Drosophila melanogaster: one gene and its partners. The protein of the gene in region 3 interacts with the protein of the main gene of each other region in a pairwise test. Each region holds a gene or a part of one and is shown on either strand. Other genes may lie near its edges.

Evidence for each region.
Region 1: the proteins of CG16904 (region 3) and Xport-A interact in a two-hybrid assay, tested with the Drosophila melanogaster proteins (one large-scale study listed by BioGRID).
Region 2: the proteins of CG16904 (region 3) and Recs1 interact in a two-hybrid assay, tested with the Drosophila melanogaster proteins (one large-scale study listed by BioGRID).

What each region holds. Positions count from the first base shown.
Region 1 is NT_033777.3:19,913,896-19,918,965, forward strand, and holds Xport-A (exit protein of rhodopsin and TRP A), read right to left. Parts: upstream 1,518-5,070; 5' UTR 1,400-1,517; coding exon 1,186-1,399; exon of another isoform or gene 1,182-1,185; intron 1,118-1,181; coding exon 981-1,117; 3' UTR 930-980; coding exon of another isoform or gene 588-929; 3' UTR 501-587; downstream 1-500. Other genes in the region: Xport-B (exit protein of rhodopsin and TRP B), read right to left, coding at 588-929; CG4465 (uncharacterized protein), read right to left, coding at 2,095-3,095, 3,151-3,883; CG4770 (uncharacterized protein), read left to right, coding at 4,637-4,709, 4,765-4,989, 5,054-5,070.
Region 2 is NT_033777.3:14,152,385-14,157,372, forward strand, and holds Recs1 (Recs1), read right to left. Parts: upstream 1,446-4,988; 5' UTR 1,376-1,445; coding exon 581-1,375; 3' UTR 501-580; downstream 1-500. Other genes in the region: CG42500 (uncharacterized protein), read right to left, coding at 1-168; CG44215 (uncharacterized protein), read right to left, coding at 1,932-2,048; CG31533 (uncharacterized protein), read right to left, coding at 2,373-4,907.
Region 3 is NT_033777.3:9,814,003-9,821,003, forward strand, and holds CG16904 (uncharacterized protein), read right to left. Parts: upstream 2,978-7,001; 5' UTR 2,956-2,977; coding exon 2,740-2,955; intron 2,668-2,739; coding exon 2,095-2,667; 3' UTR 1,926-2,094; downstream 1-1,925. Other genes in the region: eloF (elongase F), read left to right, coding at 180-380, 446-1,018; CG9459 (uncharacterized protein), read right to left, coding at 3,500-4,069, 4,137-4,364; CG9458 (uncharacterized protein), read right to left, coding at 5,007-5,573, 5,638-5,865; CG42857 (uncharacterized protein), read right to left, coding at 6,627-6,950.

The DNA of each region.
Region 1 (5,070 bases), about 10 Mb from region 3:
ACCTAGCTCTTAATCACATACTGACCTCCTTAAATCAAATGATACTTAAGATATCTTCAGCTTTGTGGTATCTTCAAAACTCTACACTTTGTGCCACAAAACGAATACCTGAACACAAGCGATTTGTAGACAGCACTTATTATAAACCAAATGGCATAACTTCCAAGTCAAATACCTAACTACTTTATATCTCCATATAACTATTTTTCACGAGATGCTTCAGATGCAAACTAGCAATGACCAGATCTGGATTGAATAGAGCTTACTTACAGACCAAATCGATATATATTCCATGATATTTATAGAGATTAGTATGTTTATAAAGTTTTGTGAATAGGTTAGTAAGTGAGCTAATGCTGGAGACACACGAATATATTCTGCAAACATTTAAATAAAAAAGCTGAAAACCACAAGTTGGATAAATATTTCTATTGTTGTTCATAATGGTGGGATACAATGTAGAATTCGAATGTAGAGAGCAAGACAATTAAGTATGCAATACGGTTAGTAAGATATTTTATTCTACGAAACTCATATAAAACACACTAAGTATAATTGATACCATATATAATTAATTATAGGATGGGCTATCTTATGTTGCTCGTAACTAGGCAAACATCGAATGGTGGTAGAGTGCCGGTAATCTCCAAGAATCGTCGAAGGATGTGGCAATAGGTGTTTCCCATGGGCGGAGATTCAGTTCCTTCCGCCGGAATTCTAGCCACCTCGTCCGGAGTGTCCAGCTCCCTAACATAATCCATAAAGTTGTCCACATTGATGGGTGTCTCTGCCCTCGTCTTTGCTGGTTCCGTCTGCAACTTTCGCTGGAACTCACTTCTGTAGTAGTCGTTGATCATGGACATCATCCCCTTGGAATACCAGTAGATGATGCCAATCAAGAATAGGCCCTGCATGAATGGACCGACCATATTGTATGCTTCCACTTGATTTACTTATTTGTTCGATAGATCCTTTGGTTTCTACTGCTGATGCTCCTCGCGGAAGCTTTCAAGCCATTGATTAACCATGTAGAATTGCTCCTTGATGTGCGGCCAGGCCATGGTGACAATTAGCATTATGGTATTGGCGAAGACAAAGAGTTTCATCATTTCAAATGCTATTGGAAAGGGGTAATATTTATTAGTTAAATGAACTATATATTTTTAAGGAGCGAAAATTACAGACCCTCCGGAGTGCGAAGATAGTCGCCGAAGCCGGAATTTAGATCCTTGTCATCCTTCTCGTCCACCTTCTGCTCATGCTTATGCTTATCCTTCTCGTCTCGGCTCTTGCCCTTACCACCACCCTCGACTTTATCCTTGCCAGAGTGTCCTTTACCGTGCTTGTTCCTGCCGTATCCCGTGGATGAATTGGCAAAGGCCGATTTCTTCGGCTTCATTGCATCCAGATAGCAGCAGTTGGTCGGTCAGCCTGCACAGCACTGCATTTGATTGGAGTTGGTCCTGGAAGTGCTCTCCGCCTGGTGCTTCCTCGCCAACTGCTGCTCCGCAAATGACACAAACTTTGTGGTGCCAATTGGCGTGGCGCCGCTTCTGGCAATTTTATGGTTTCCATTTTATTGATTTGCGATTTCTGCTTGTCGCTCTGGCTGGGTGGGAATGGTGGGACAGGTGACCAAATAGAAATATGTTGTTAGTGGAGCAATGCGCTTGGATATTTAGCCGGGCATGTGTACTTATTATACCAGTCACACGAAATGTGTGTCAACTTGGTGGATGAAGGTGGTCGCCGGTAGGGTTGGTGTTTGTGGGTTTACATTGGTCCCAAATGGCTCTGGTTCCTGAAAGCTTATTTAAATATCATGCAAACCAGTTTTAATTTATTTAATGCCTTATTCTGCCAAATAGTTTATAATAGTTTTGCATTGATCTAATGTAAGCTTTACATTTTAAACAAACTACGTGTAGATGCCGAACTTTTGATTTATTCCCAAAAGTATGCAACCCAATATACATATTCGATTCGCGATAAGCGAATGTTTAATGAGCTAAATTCGAATACTGTTCGCGAATACTTGACACACACTACAACTAACTTATCAAATACGCCCAGACATATATTAAGTATACGTTATTACGTGAACGCAATAAGTTGCTGTCCCTTGTTTACCACAGCTCCGACCGGTGGCTGCTCCTTGTCCCGCGTGACCAGGCAACATGTGCCAAGGCCGCCCAGGATGACCAGCAGACAGAAGGCGGACAGGGAGAGGGCGGGGCTCACCTGCCTGAGCAGCGTGAGAAAAGAGGCGGAGAGCTGCCACACCCGCGCCCACGTGACGGCGGAGAAGGAGAGGCAACTACGCTGCTCCATTGGCACCAGTTCGCCCAGGCAGGCCAAAATCATGGACTGGGCGCAGGCTACGGCCGCCTGGGGAAGTGATGCCATTAGCAAGCCCAGCGTCAGTCCATACACCTCGGGCATATCCTCCTCGGCCAGGAACCAACAGATGCTACCGATGCAACCGACCACGATGGCAAATCCCCCCGCCCACTGCCACTTGCGTTCACTCAGGTTGAAGGTCAGGTGTAGGGCCAGGAAGCAGCCAAGCATCTCGGCCAGGCCCATGGCCAGTGTGTTGGACACCAGGTGCTCCCTGCCAAAGGACCGCACATGGAGCAGCAGCCCAGTGTTGACCACCATGAAGGTGGCAAGTGCCATGTGCACGGCCACCAAGTGGAAAGTACTCCTACGCTGGCCCATCCACAAGTGCATCCAATGCACGGCGGGCATTGGCTCCAGCATCCTTTCTCTCAGCTCCTCCAACTGCTGGGGTAACTCCTTGGACACTTTGTGCATTCTACCATTGGTACGGGCTGCTTCCAGCAGGATACCCACCGTTCGCTCGATGGCCAGTTGAGCTTCCTTGGTGTGTTGCAGCTGCCAGCGCGGTGAGTCCGGAGTCCAGGGTAGCAGAAAGACAATCACCAGCAAGGAAAGAGTTACGCCCAAGTATATGTGCTGCCAGCTGGGAGCATTGGAGGCCAAGCCAGGGAGCAGAATCAAGCCCAGAGCCCAGAAGCAGTCGTAAAGTATGAGGGTTCCTACGCGATATTTTCCCGCTGTTATGTCACCAACTGAAAAGTAGGTTATTTAATATTAAAGTATTCTTAAATATTCAATTTTACTTACATATATACTGCCCCGAGGTGATCATAAAACAGCACGAAACAGCAGCCAGGCATCGGAGTCCACAGTGCAGACTGAAGTCTTTGACAAGACCCATCAGTAGGCTGCACATGAGCAGGCACCAGATGCCAGTTCTATAAATCTGTCGGGGACTCAGGACCCGCATCAACTTGGTGGCCGCCACGCCACCGATTAGGAGGCCAAAGAGGTGCCAGTACTGAGACCAGGCCACAAAGAAGTCGCACAGACACACCAAATCGAACTCCATGGTCAGGGAGTGGAAACCCGTGGTGTAGAGGAACTTTCGACACTGGCGCATGGCGTAGGCGGACTCTCCGTAGTTAACCATCACATAGCAGTGGTCCAGCGAGACGGTGGAGTTGACATCCGGCCCGAAAGCCGTCGTATCACACTTGTACTCCTCCTCGGGGTACAGATCCGGCGCTGTGAACAGGATGCAGGCCATGAACCAGGCGGCTGGAATCTTGCAGAGAAATAGGATGAGCAGGGAGCGCAGTTGCCAGGGCCCAAAGTTCCCCATGATGTGTGTGATGACATCGTCATCGTTGTCATCTGCTAGATTATTTGCTTTCGGGTGTGGAGTTTGAGGAGATACCTCGTTGGCCTTCGGATCGGTGCAGGTGAAGCTATGCGCCATGTGGCCCAAGTCCAAAGGAGCAGGTGAGTTTCGGCGTATATTGGGCATCCAGCCTCGATAAAGATTATCCTTCTTCATTCTTAGTTAGCTGCCAAATTTAGTTACCACGTCTTGGGAGTGCCGACCCTCCAGCATGACTGCGACTTCGCTTAGCACCTCACCTGGGCAGGTAAACTCGAGGGCTCCGGTTTGCGGTGCCTGCCTACGACGTCGTCGCTAATCAAATCATTCCAAATAAGCGGAGCAACGTTCCTAACCGATTGTGCAAACATTTTGGCCGACAAGTTGCGATCTATTTTCGCGGCGATCTTACGGATTTATGGGAGGATCTAGCCGGGGAATCCGATCGCGGTGGCGGGCAATTGACATGATTGAAGCTAATGAATTGGACAGGTAAACAACATCGGAATTCGAACTGATTGGAAAGCTTCGCAGCTGTGGATACATTTAATTTAATGGTATCGCCATATTTTATATAATAGATATAATACTTATCTACTCCGGAGTTTTCAAGTTCATGGCTTTTGAATTATTGAAAATGGCCTAGAACTCTTAGCCAATGGTATGGACTCCCACTTCATGACTTCTTCAATGATCATTAACGAAGGTCTAGTGTTGTCCACATCCCCATCGAAATATGATGTAATATGTTTGTGCTCAAATGTTACGTCTGAGTTGCTATTTTCGTTGGCCAATTGCATGTTCCACTTGCATTTTCACGAAAAACTTGTTTCGGGAGGACCAAGGCATTTCTTTTGCCAAGCCAGTTAGGCGTTGAAAGTGAGTAGCTCACCGGATCAGTAGCTATCGTGGCTTCAAAGTGGCCACACCATGGACAACGCCGAAGTGAGTACTGTGGAGCACCAGACGGATATTTACCAAGATGCTGTGGTCTTCATAACGGGTAATACAGACGCGATCTCCAAAAGAGACTGTTCAAAGATGGTTAACTTTAATAGGAGCAACTGGCTTTGTGGGCAAGTCGCTGCTGGAGAAGCTGCTCTGGAGTTTTCCGCAGATCAAGCGGATCTACATGCTCATCCGACCTAAGGGCGGAGTCACAGTAGAGGAACGATTTCGCGGATTCCTTCAGAATCCCATTTTCGAACGCATAAAATCGGAGCATCCAACGCAGCTGAAGAAAATCTTTCACTTCTCTGGCAACATTGAGGACGACAACTTAGGTATGGCTTTTCAGAGAAACTTTAAATGAAAACTCATGACTTCACCAGACTTTTCCACCAACAGGTTTAAATGAGTCCGAC
Region 2 (4,988 bases), 4.3 Mb from region 3:
GCCTACAACTGGACCGTGTCCAACAGGACCAGCGTGTCCCACAGGTCCGTGGCCAGCATTGACTGGGTGTCCTCCGTGTCCTACAGGAACATGGCGCAGATCACCGGGAGTTGCCTGGACGGTAGCCAGGGCAATGAGGAGGAAGGCACACAGAGCAAAGAACTTCATCGTTTCAAAATTTGATACACTTTGAGGTGCTGGAAGATCTTATATACCTAATATCGTAACCGTTTACAGTTATCTTTTTTTTTATAATTTTTCGTTATTTTTTGGGTCACAAAACACTAAATTATACGAAATGTATTTCAATATATAGGTTGCCCGTTAATTAGCGATTATGAACAGGTGCGATCATTGAATACCGGTCATTCTTGTTATTTCTGCATTTGTTTGTGCAAACAAGTTTAATTATATTATTTATGGCAACTGTGCTTTGTATAAAAAATATCCAAATTTTTAAAGCCTATATTTAGGCTTTTAAGTAAATGTAAAATAGGCTTGCTGCTGAATTTGATTTATTAATACTCGACGTCGAATTGCAGATGTAAAATAATCTGTGTGTTTGTGAGATTTCATGCAACTAATCGGATCCTCCGATTAATTGCAAAATGTCCAGGAATATGTTCATTACATCCATGTAAATATTTAGGGCAGCGAATATGTACTCCTCGGGACTAATGGAGTACCTATGCTTGCCTCCCATCATCAATTGTGTATCGTAAACTAAATAAACGGAGAAGAGCAGAGCGCTCAATGAGGCATATATGGTGGTGACCATATGTCCGCCCACGAAGATGGTCACAATTCCAAAGAAGAGCAGTATTATCAGGCAGCTCACCAGGAGGCCACCCATGACGGTAAAGTCGTAACGCGTCTGCAGAGCAAAAAGGGTGAGTCCAAGGCAAACTGACGCCGTGATTAGCACGGCCATGAAAATCTCCATTGGGGCATAACGACAGGCTGCCACGCCCAGCAGAAAGGACTCGGCTATCGTGAAGGCAGATAGGAAGATGAAGTTAGCTGGGGTCTGACGACGCAGATCCTCATTGCAGCCCAGAGCCACCAGAGAGAAGACCACTATTAGTATGGCCACCACAAATATCCAGGTGCTTTCTGCCACCATCAGACGCACCCGTTTATCAGCAGTAAGTGAAACTATAACCACCAGGGAAGTGATCAGTTGGGCCAACAGGATGAGGTACACCTTCCGGATGAATCCTCGCCGGATGCTGGCGCTGCAGAATCCCAAGCCCTTGTCTGGATCATCCTGTCCGATTTCCGATCCGTAAGCTGTATATCTTCCCAGCGGAATACACTCCGCCTGGTGGCTCCGATTTCCATACTGATGTACTGGTTCTTGTAAAATATCCAGCATTGTGTCCTTCGAACACAACTTTCAAGTAACTGCTAATTCTTAATTTAATAACCTTTGTCGGAAATTGAAGTATAGTATGACAGAAGAGTCAACGTTAAATGGAATTTACTTCTTAGAAACTATAAATCTTCTTTTCATAATTAGTAACTATCATAAACATAACTTTAACTTCATTTCTTTAGAATTCGAAAATTCACAATATTATAATATTATAATAATATATATCCAATACTGTCTTCCGTCTTATATACATTTGCAGTAATGCGTATTTATTAAATTCAAACAACAATTTTATGTAAAGATTTAAATATGTGACTAATTTGAGCAAAAACGGACTTACGGATAACTAAATGACTATATGGCTATATACACTCTGCTGTTAATACTTATTATTTATACATATTTTAAATGGTTGCAAATGTACCCCTTAGTGCGTTGCAAACTTCTGTCTGAAATCATTATACCCTCTGCAAGGGCATACAAATAAATACAACAAATTCTGCTGCTAAATAGAATATTTATTCCAATATTCAAGTAGCTTTCGTGAAATTATAAATTATCCAGCAGTTTTCTTAAGGTTCCCTTCAGAGATCGCACTGGTCTCAGGAGAACTATTGGCCTGGACGGCAGCCAGGATGAGGAGCAAAAAGGCGCACAGAGCGAAGATCTTCATTTTGGTAACTTTAATGAATACAGTCTAACAGTTGGCATGGCGCTTTTATACTACCGTTTGCAGTCGATTGAGACCAGTTTATAATTTCTATATAATTAGCATATTTAATCAAATTCTTATGCTCGTATTAATAGAATTTTAGCAATACTTTGAAAACAAGTTGGATTGCGTCATTAACAATCACAAAAAATGTGCTCCCTAATATAAAATAAAATTATTTATAATACTATTATACTAATTCCTATAATTCCAAACGGCTGCCATTGTAGCTTAAGAGAAATAAAACACGCTTATTACATTTTGACTTTTAATAAAAGAATACAATTATTTCCTTGATTTTGCTCTCATTTTTTGTATTATCTTTCGCGGCAGTTCTTTCCAAACATTTTTGGTATACCGGTAAGGATCGATGGCGTTCCTAGCGGTTCCAATCGGGAGTGGTGCCTGGGCCTTCTTGCCCCACACCTTCGGGTGTCGCCAGATTACGGGCTTTCCATGCTGGCCACCACCCCGGTATCCAAAGACTCCATCCTCGAAAACGGTCTCTATATTATCGCCGAAGGCTGTGCCCATATACCGATCTCCTGCTGCGCAATCGTAGGCCCTATAGAAGTGATTGTGGGCTACTGGATATGGAGGCGGTATAACTGGTGGCTCCTTCATTGCAGTCTGGGTGCTATGATTCACCACGTTCCTAAGGGCTTTGCGCTTCGGTCTACGAGTTCCCGCCGGCGGAGTCACATCCAGATCGAACTCCAAATCGCTCTCACTTGTGTCGGTAAGCACCAAGTGGTCGGGACATGGCTCTATAAAACGCTTCTGGCACTCTTTCTTGAGAGCCTTATTCAGGTGAAATTTATCCAAGGCATCGCGACAGGTGCACATCATCAGGGACTGGTGGCACTTGCACTTCTCGAAGCCCTGATCCTTGAGAGCACGCTTGATCTGGCGCAGTGCCACCGCCATATCGCTCTTGACGATCCGGAACGTTATGGGTTTCTGTTTCATACCCAAAGTGGGCAGTGGACGAAGGGTTACGAATATATTACCATTTCGCTTGCAAATATTGAGCACGGGATGGCCAAATCGTTTCTGTTCCTCGTAATCAGCTGTTACCTTGCCGCACATATTCGGATCTCTACTTCGCATCAGGAAGTGACGCATCACATGGCCAGAGGATCGTAGGATGGCACCTGGCCGCCAGCCATTCTTCCGTGCCTCGCAACTTTTTGTCCAGTTCCAACCATGGCGACGAGACACAATGCTTGAGGACGAAATGCAGTTTTTGTGGCCAGCCTTTGGATGATGGCTTCTTCCGTCAAGTATTTTGTCTCCTGGGTATAGCGATTTGGTCAGCTCCTTGATGGATCGCCTGCTGCGGATAGTGAACAAGGACTGAGATGCGCAGCGTTCCTTAATAGCTGAAAGCTTCTTGGTGTCGTGGATATGGTACAGATTCTTTAGCTCGGAAAATACCTTCGCCAGGTAGGGAAGATCATCTTCCCCCTCAGATTCCATGACCACACAGAAATCCTCACTTGACCGGGGCTTCGGAATTCGGCGGGGAGGTTTTGGTGGACTCTTGGCGGTAAAAATGTCATCGCACATCTTGCGGATTCGGCAGTGGGGGCAGGTATTACCCTTAGAGCATGTACAACGGCATGGTGGGCACTCGGTATCGTTCCAGATCTTCCGGCGCACCTTTTCGCATGGTGGCTCACAAAAGTCCTCGACTCCGGGCGGTGCTTTTGGTTTTACTAGTTGTTCAGCCAAAATTTCTTCTGCCGTAATATTCTCGATCGGATGTCCTTGGAGTATGGGAACTGCTTTAGTATTGCATTGAGGGCATGGTGCATATTTTGGCATCCACGACATGGAGCACAAGCAGACAGGACAGAACCGTATAGGTTTCACGCCATGTAATAAGTCGGATCTAACAGAAACAGGTATGCCAGATTTCACGGGAGCAAGACTTAGAGACCGCGGTGTGTAAAATGGAGTTATGACATTCGCATCGGAAGGTGGCTCCGTAGGAACCAACGAGCTCGATTGCGGTTCCATTTCTTTGACCTTCTTGGTCACAGAGTCAATGATATTAGAATACTCCTCGGTGAGCTTTTTAAGTTGCATAAATGAGGGTTTTTGCTTGGGACAGCGGTCATCATCTGGAAAGATTGCTCGACGATTTTCCAAGCTTTTGTAGCGCTGCAAGTCCAGCTTCAGGCGTTCATCTCCTATTTCGGATAGAAGTTCAGAACACGGCTCCGAGGGAATTCGAAGTAAAGGATCAGGATCGCCGATGAGAAACATCACATCCTGAGGATTGAAGGTCGGGCCCTGGCTAGCACAACTGACTCGTCCGCTTTTCTCTTTCTTCGGTAGTATCATCGATGATTTGCTGGTTCGGGAAAGACTTTGCCTTGAAGGCTTCTGCTCTGGGTGCTCCTCGCACTTTACGGTCAAGCGGATTAGAACGCTCACCGTTCCAACTACATCAACTCGACGAACCAAATCGAGTGTATCTTCGTGCACCAGATCGTTCATCGTGGGGCTGATCTTGTCAAGAAACTCCACAGGGAAGTTCCCCGTGGCCTTGCCAAGAGTTGATCCCTGGTAAACACCCGCCAAAGTCAAACCCTTCTCCTCCAGACTTTGACGCAATGTCGATGCTTCCATTGGGAGCTCAAACTCCCTGCCGGCCACAAACTGGTCGACATTGATTCGGCTGGACGTTACCTTCACTGATTTTCCGGCAACCTTGGTTTCCACCAGGAGTTTGGCGGGTTCGTCAATCGTTACGCCAAAAATATTCAGATTGGTGATGACCAAGTCGAATAGAAAGTTAGCCGATTCCGTCATTTTTTGGTTGCTTATTTGCTGTATTTTAGAATTTGTATGTCCTAGGTCAGTTCTTCTGAGGTATCATCTATTAAAATCGGT
Region 3 (7,001 bases):
GAAAATCAAAGCGTGGATAGAACGCTTCCCGAATTCCCATTTAAAATGCACACTACGGCATACGAATGTAAATGCTCCATTTAAAGAAACATTGTAACAATTTGTGCCACTTAAGGTCGAGAGCCTAATTTCGAGTTTGGATTAGTCACTATCAATCGCACAACTCGATTAGATTCGCCATGTTCGCTCCGATAGATCCTGTAAAGATACCCGTTGTAAGCAATCCATGGATAACCATGGGCACATTGATTGGCTATCTGCTGTTTGTGCTCAAGCTGGGCCCCAAAATCATGGAGCACCGAAAGCCCTTCCATTTGAATGGCGTCATCAGGATCTACAACATATTCCAGATCCTTTACAATGGTCTAATACTCGTTTTAGTAAGTATTTGAACTGGGGCTTCTGGACATCTGCAGGTTCTGATGGGAGGATGCTACTTTTACAGGGAGTTCACTTCCTGTTTGTCCTGAAAGCCTACCAAATCAGTTGCATTGTTAGCCTGCCGATGGATCACAAATATAAGGATAGAGAGCGTTTGATTTGCACTTTGTACCTGGTGAACAAATTCGTAGACCTTGTGGAAACCATTTTCTTTGTGCTCCGCAAAAAGGACAGACAGATATCCTTCCTGCACGTCTTCCATCATTTTGCGATGGCATTTTTTGGATATCTCTACTACTGCTTCCACGGATACGGTGGCGTTGCCTTTCCACAGTGCCTGCTAAACACCGCCGTCCACGTGATTATGTACGCCTACTACTATCTATCCTCGATCAGCAAGGAGGTGCAGAGAAGTCTCTGGTGGAAGAAATACATCACAATTGCTCAGCTGGTCCAGTTCGCCATTATTCTGCTCCACTGTACCATCACGCTGGCACAGCCCAACTGCGCGGTCAACAGACCCTTGACCTACGGATGCGGATCGCTTTCAGCGTTTTTTGCAGTGATATTTAGCCAATTTTATTACCACAACTACATAAAGCCAGGAAAGAAGTCAGCGAAACAAAACAAAAATTAACTAAATTTAAACTAAATCATGAGTACAAAGCCTAAAGATTCGTGAAGCAACAATAGCCACAGCCTATTTTTGAATATTTCATATATGATTTTATGGGGTAAATGAATTAAAAAACATTTGTTTTCTTGGCGTCAAACTATTTTTGAAGGCAGTCTCACCAGTGTCATGCAAAGGGTAGTTATAAAAATAGCTAAAAATCGAATGCATAAAGGGGAAACGCAGGCATGCGACTGCTAAGGGAAGTGCATGCACAATGCACGTTTAATGTCATTTAAAACGGCAATTACTCAGCACGCTCGGTGGCTCGGCCAGTTGGAGGCCCCATTCCAGGGGCCAAGGAAGGACGAAGGACGAAGGACTAAGGACGAAGGACCCGAAAAGCTAGTGCCCAACCAGGAACCACTGCACTTGACTGCGGCTTCGCTTTAATGTTGCCGCATGGCCGCAATTATTCAGCTGGCACTTTGACTCTGATTCGCCGCATGCGATTCCTATGCAAATTCGGCCGGCCACGGGTGACCCTTCCGGTGCCATAAATCGCCGGTGCTGGGCCAGGCTCGTTCCTAATATTCTAATTAAATGCAGCATGGAATGTCCAGAGACGTGCTCGGTCCAAGTTCTGCGGAGCATGCAGATCACGTGCCAAGGGGAATCCCCTCGATTCGACGATGGAAACCACGAGTAGTCGAGATGTGGCCGATGGGATTTATTCCGGACGGAGTCTAACTCCTTGACCTTTTCGACTGCATTTGAATTAACTGTCGATGCATTTGAATTCATCTATTATTCAAACGGCGCATATGCAAATTGTCGAGTACACTCAGAGAAACCAATGATGTATCACTTTATAATTCAAATTTAATTTAAGAAGCCAATGTATTGTAAAAGTAATAATAAAATATTTGTTGATTACAAATACATTCTTATTAAATAATACAAAAAAAAAACAGGATCAAAGGTGGGAATTTTATAACAAAAATTGTATGAAAGTTGGAAAGACACTCTTCATTCCTATGCACCCCAATAGTTATGTACATACGAATTACCAGTTTTTGATCACAGTGTAGCAGGTGCATTCAGTTGACCTTGCCCTTGGACTTGACCTCTTTCGGCCGAATGTAGGTCTTTATGTAGAACTTGGTGAACATCAGAAACATGAAGGCGCTGGCCGAACTTATGACATAGATGACACCCCGCGACGCCGAGCAGTTTGGCTGGAAATAGGTGTACATGCAGTGCAGGAACATCAGGAGGAACTGCACCAGCTGGCCCAGGGTAAGGTACTTCTTCCACCAGAGGCTCTCCTGCACATTCTGGCTCTGCGACGAGGCGTAGTAGTAGCCGTACATGACGATGTGCACCAGAACATTGAACATGCAGATCAGGAAGACATGGCCACCAAAACCGTAGAATCGGATCAGCATGTGCGAGGTGAAGACCATGAAGACGTGATGGAACACATGGAGGAACGTGATCTGGCGCTGCTTCTTGCGCAGCACAAAGAATATGGTGTCCATCAGGTCGAGCACCTTGTTCAGATGGTACATGTACGACAGTGTCCTTTCCGTGGACTTTAGCTCATGATCCTGCGGCAGGACTTGCATGCAGCTCAGGTTGTACGGCTTCTGCACGAATAACAGATGGATGCCCTGGGTAATATGGAGCAATCCATTGAAAACGATTAAAAAACTGTGTATATCGATATCCTTCGACTTACGTACCCACACAAAAATCACCGAATTGAACAGGACTTGTCCGATGTTGTAGAACTTGAGCACACCTCGCAGCTGGAGTGCCTCATGCTTGTCCATCAGCTTCCTGCCCAGCTTGAGCACAAACAATAGATACACCGTGATGATGATCACCGAGGTGCGGATACTGCCCGCCAGCGGCAGCTGGACAGGATCGGCGAAGGGCTTATCGAACACCTCGAACATTTTCGCGCACGACTTAACGAGTGACTTGACTTTTACCTTCTGTGATTTCTTTCTTTCACGATAGCCACTATACTATTACCTATTTGCTAATTACATTAGTGCAAATTTCCGGTATGTTTAACCCACTATCAACCTTCAACTTGAATACTTAAAGCTTTGCAAATCGAACTAAATACAATATAAGTAACAGTTCAACTACGTTTTTATTTTCAACATTTTATTAATCAGCAGTGCCATTATTTACAAAATTACTCCTTTTGACATTATTGTCAATACAACAAAAAAAGTGTTCTACATTTATAAAATACTGGCGAGACCCAATTAAAGGGGTATTTTGCATATTTAATAGCATTAAGCAGTCGAGTGGATAGAGAGTTCTAGAAACCAACAAATATCTCCCATTGCTTTATGTAAAATATATATCTATGTATAATATACGATATATACAATGATATAAAACAAATGAATTTGTTGTATCAAAAGCATTTATTAATGACATTGATTAATGTAAGGAACAGTGATATTAAATCTTAATTAGTTTTGCTCATCGGCCCACCGCCGATTTCGTTTTCTTGGGAAGAATGTAGGTGCGAACGTAGAAGTTACTAAATAGAATTATAAATACTACAGATATCAGTGAGCCCCAAGTTGCCGATAATCGTGATGTTTGACAATCAGTTTGCCGGAGGATATAGACGCTGTGCGAGAATATAATAACAAATTGGACAAGCTGAACGACTGTGATGTATTTCTTCCACCAGAGATCGCCACCCGAGTTCCGATTGAGGGACGACTGGTAGTAGTAGGTGTACATCATGGTGTGCACCACCACGTTGAAGGTGATCAAGAAGAATCCATGGCCGCCGTATCCATAATAATACATGTACAAGAAGCCTATGTACACCATGTATACGTGGTGGAAAACGTGCAGGAACGATATCTGGCGATACTTCTTTCTGAATATAAAGAACACAGTCTCCAGCAGATCCATGAGCTTGTTGAAGAAGTAGGAGTAACTGAGCCAACGCTCCCAGTTCTTGTACTCATGATCCAACGGCAGATTGGATATGCAACTGAAGTTATAGTTGCCAGGACCAAGCATGAAGTGCACACTCTTTAAATTTGGAGATACATATAATGAATATTAATATATTTTTGTTAAAAAAAAGAGCATTACTTACAAATATTAACAAAATGACATTGTATGCGATTTGCACGATGTTGTAGATCTTGATAGCTCTATCCAGATTGTAGGGCTTTTGATTCTGCATAAACCAAGGACCCACTATTTTTATGAAGACTAGATAGATTCCAAGGATGGTCAACACCGGCCAGTGGCTGCTGGTCAACGGAAGACGCACAGGATCCGGTGGCGATCGATTCAGGAAGTCCAGCATATGGGCAAACATGTCGGATATCTAAGTGTTATCGACGTCGGTGGAATAGCGACTGATGTGGACTCCGGCCGAGAACCGAGAAATGGTAATCTGCTCGTTTTCGAGGCTGATTTAAGTGTGTGTTTCTATTATACAAATACCTACATACGTAAGTAAAACCTATTACGCCGACCATATAAGAGGGTATTGCGGTCACAAAGTAAGGAAAATAGGTTTCCATCGCTTGGAATGCCGGATATGTTGAACATCCACTGTCCCCTGGTTACGAAAGGTAAAATAATGGCATTCGTATTTAGTTTTTAATGTAGTCCAGTTTTAAATGCAGTCCAGTTTTTAATGCCTTTTGACGTAATAACTTTAACGTATTCTAAGATCAATCGATTTTATATAATTCTAACCGTGTCACTTCTAATGAAGTTTACTTACACTTTGTTTGATATTGATATTTTCGTAGTAATAGCATACAATTTCGGGCAAAGTCTTGTGTTATTCCACCTTTTCCATCATAATATTCATCCGAATATCAGTCATTACTAGTAAACAGATATACAATTCAAATACATCTTTATGTTTTTTATTAGCTCTAAAATTAAAATAGGTTTCTCTATAGAGATCTAAATGCTGCACAGAACAAATCTGATGACTGGCTCTAGCTTAGATGTTTTTCTGTTTCCTTTTCTTGGGTCGAATATAGGCATGAAAATAGAAGTTGCTAAATAAGATGATGAACACAACGGAGATGCTGCCGGCACAGGTCGCCGAGAACCGGGCTGATGGACAGTCCGGTTGCTTTAGGGTGTAGATACTATGCCCCAGAACGATTCCAAACTGGATGAGCTGAACGATAGTGATGTACTTCTTCCACCACAGATCGCCCTTCGAATCGCGATTGAGCGACGACTGATAGTAGTAGCTGTACATCATGATGTGCACGACGACGTTGAAGAAGCACATAAAGAACCCATGACCACCGTATCCGTAGTAGTACAGATACATAAAGCTGAAGTACAGCATGTACATGTGATGGAAGACGTGCAGAAAGGATATCTGGCGATCCTTCTTTCGCAGCACAAAGAAGACCGTCTCCAGCAGATCGAGCAGCTTATTGAAGAAGTACGAGTACGTAAGCCAGCGCTCCCAGGTCTTGTACTCATGATCCGGCGGCAGGTTCTTGATGCACTTAAAGTTATAGTCTCCGGGTCCCAGCATGAAGTGGACAGCCTGTAAAGTGGAATTTCTATATTAAACAATCCGTGATGGTTGATATTTTTGGGGGGAAACTCACAAAAAAGCACATGATGACATTGTACACGATCTGCATGATGTTGTACGCCTTTATCAGACCGCGAAGGTCAAAGGGCTTTCGATTCCGCATGATCTTTGGACCCGCTATCTTTACGAAGAACAGGTAGGTGGCCAATACCATCAGGACGGGCTTGTGGCTGGCCAGGAGTGGCAGGCGCACAGGATCGGGTGGGGATTTGCCCAAAAAGTCCACTAGATCACCCAACATTGCGATTGTGTGTGCTTACCGTGGATCGATGGAAATGCGACTAATTTTATTGTGGTTTATAAGCTTCGATAAACACGCTTAATTGGTATGGTAATTTAGGCGTGAGTACGGCAAGTAGGGTTTACCAATACTCGAAGCATGCGACAAATGCATGATTTGTATTTAATTTGAAGAGCCTGAGGAGGCAGACAGTGAAAGTAACCATGAAAATTGATTCCCCTTGGCTTTAAATCAATACCAATAATGCAAAACTTTCCACGTACCTTCGCAACTTTAAACATGATTATGAAAATTCCATTAAAAGTTTAATGGGCTCCCGGGAAATGTTCGAAAATCACGCACATGCGAAACGAAAGCGGTACAAAAAGATGGGCGGCCATTTTCGTATCGCATCGGGTTACGCAGTGGGCGTGGCCAAACTGCAACTGCAGCAACTTCCATGCAAAGCGGATGCGAAAATGGTACATAAACAAATACCGCCACATCACGCACATCCAGTGCAACAAAAGTGGCAACAGCCATAACAAATTTAGAACTAAATACGGGTCGCGGCATCTAGTGCACTTATTTAAATGCAATAGTGGGTTTTAATACAATGTACATACATATATGTGTCGAAATCAACTTTAAAAGAGTCTACCAATTTCGTTTTGTGCTTTTTATTAAGCGCTTCAATAGATGGCAATGAGCATATGTCGAAACTAGTTTAATTAGATACCAGTCGCTGCCTTATAAAACTGAAAAATCAGGCCAAGTACATATCACTCGTTGTCGGCTGTCTCACTAATGGCCACATACTTCCGATTCTTAATTATCACAGTTTGCATGAGTAAAGGTGTGATAGTCGGCATACGATGCACCTTAGGTGGATCAATTGCACGTGGATTGTAGCTTTTGAGAGGGCGCATTTTCTTTTCCTTCTTCTCAGTTTCCACACATTGATCAACTGCTTTCTTTGCTATCCTTTCGCTTTTATCCTGGCACGTGATCCTTTTCATTTTCGGCTGTTTGGCAACTCCGTTCTTTTTAAGATTCTCAGCTTTAATTAGCTGTTTTTTTTCCTGAAACGTGCTCTTAAAGCATATCTGCAAGATTTAACATAAGTTTACAATTTTCACATAACTAGTAACTTGCTT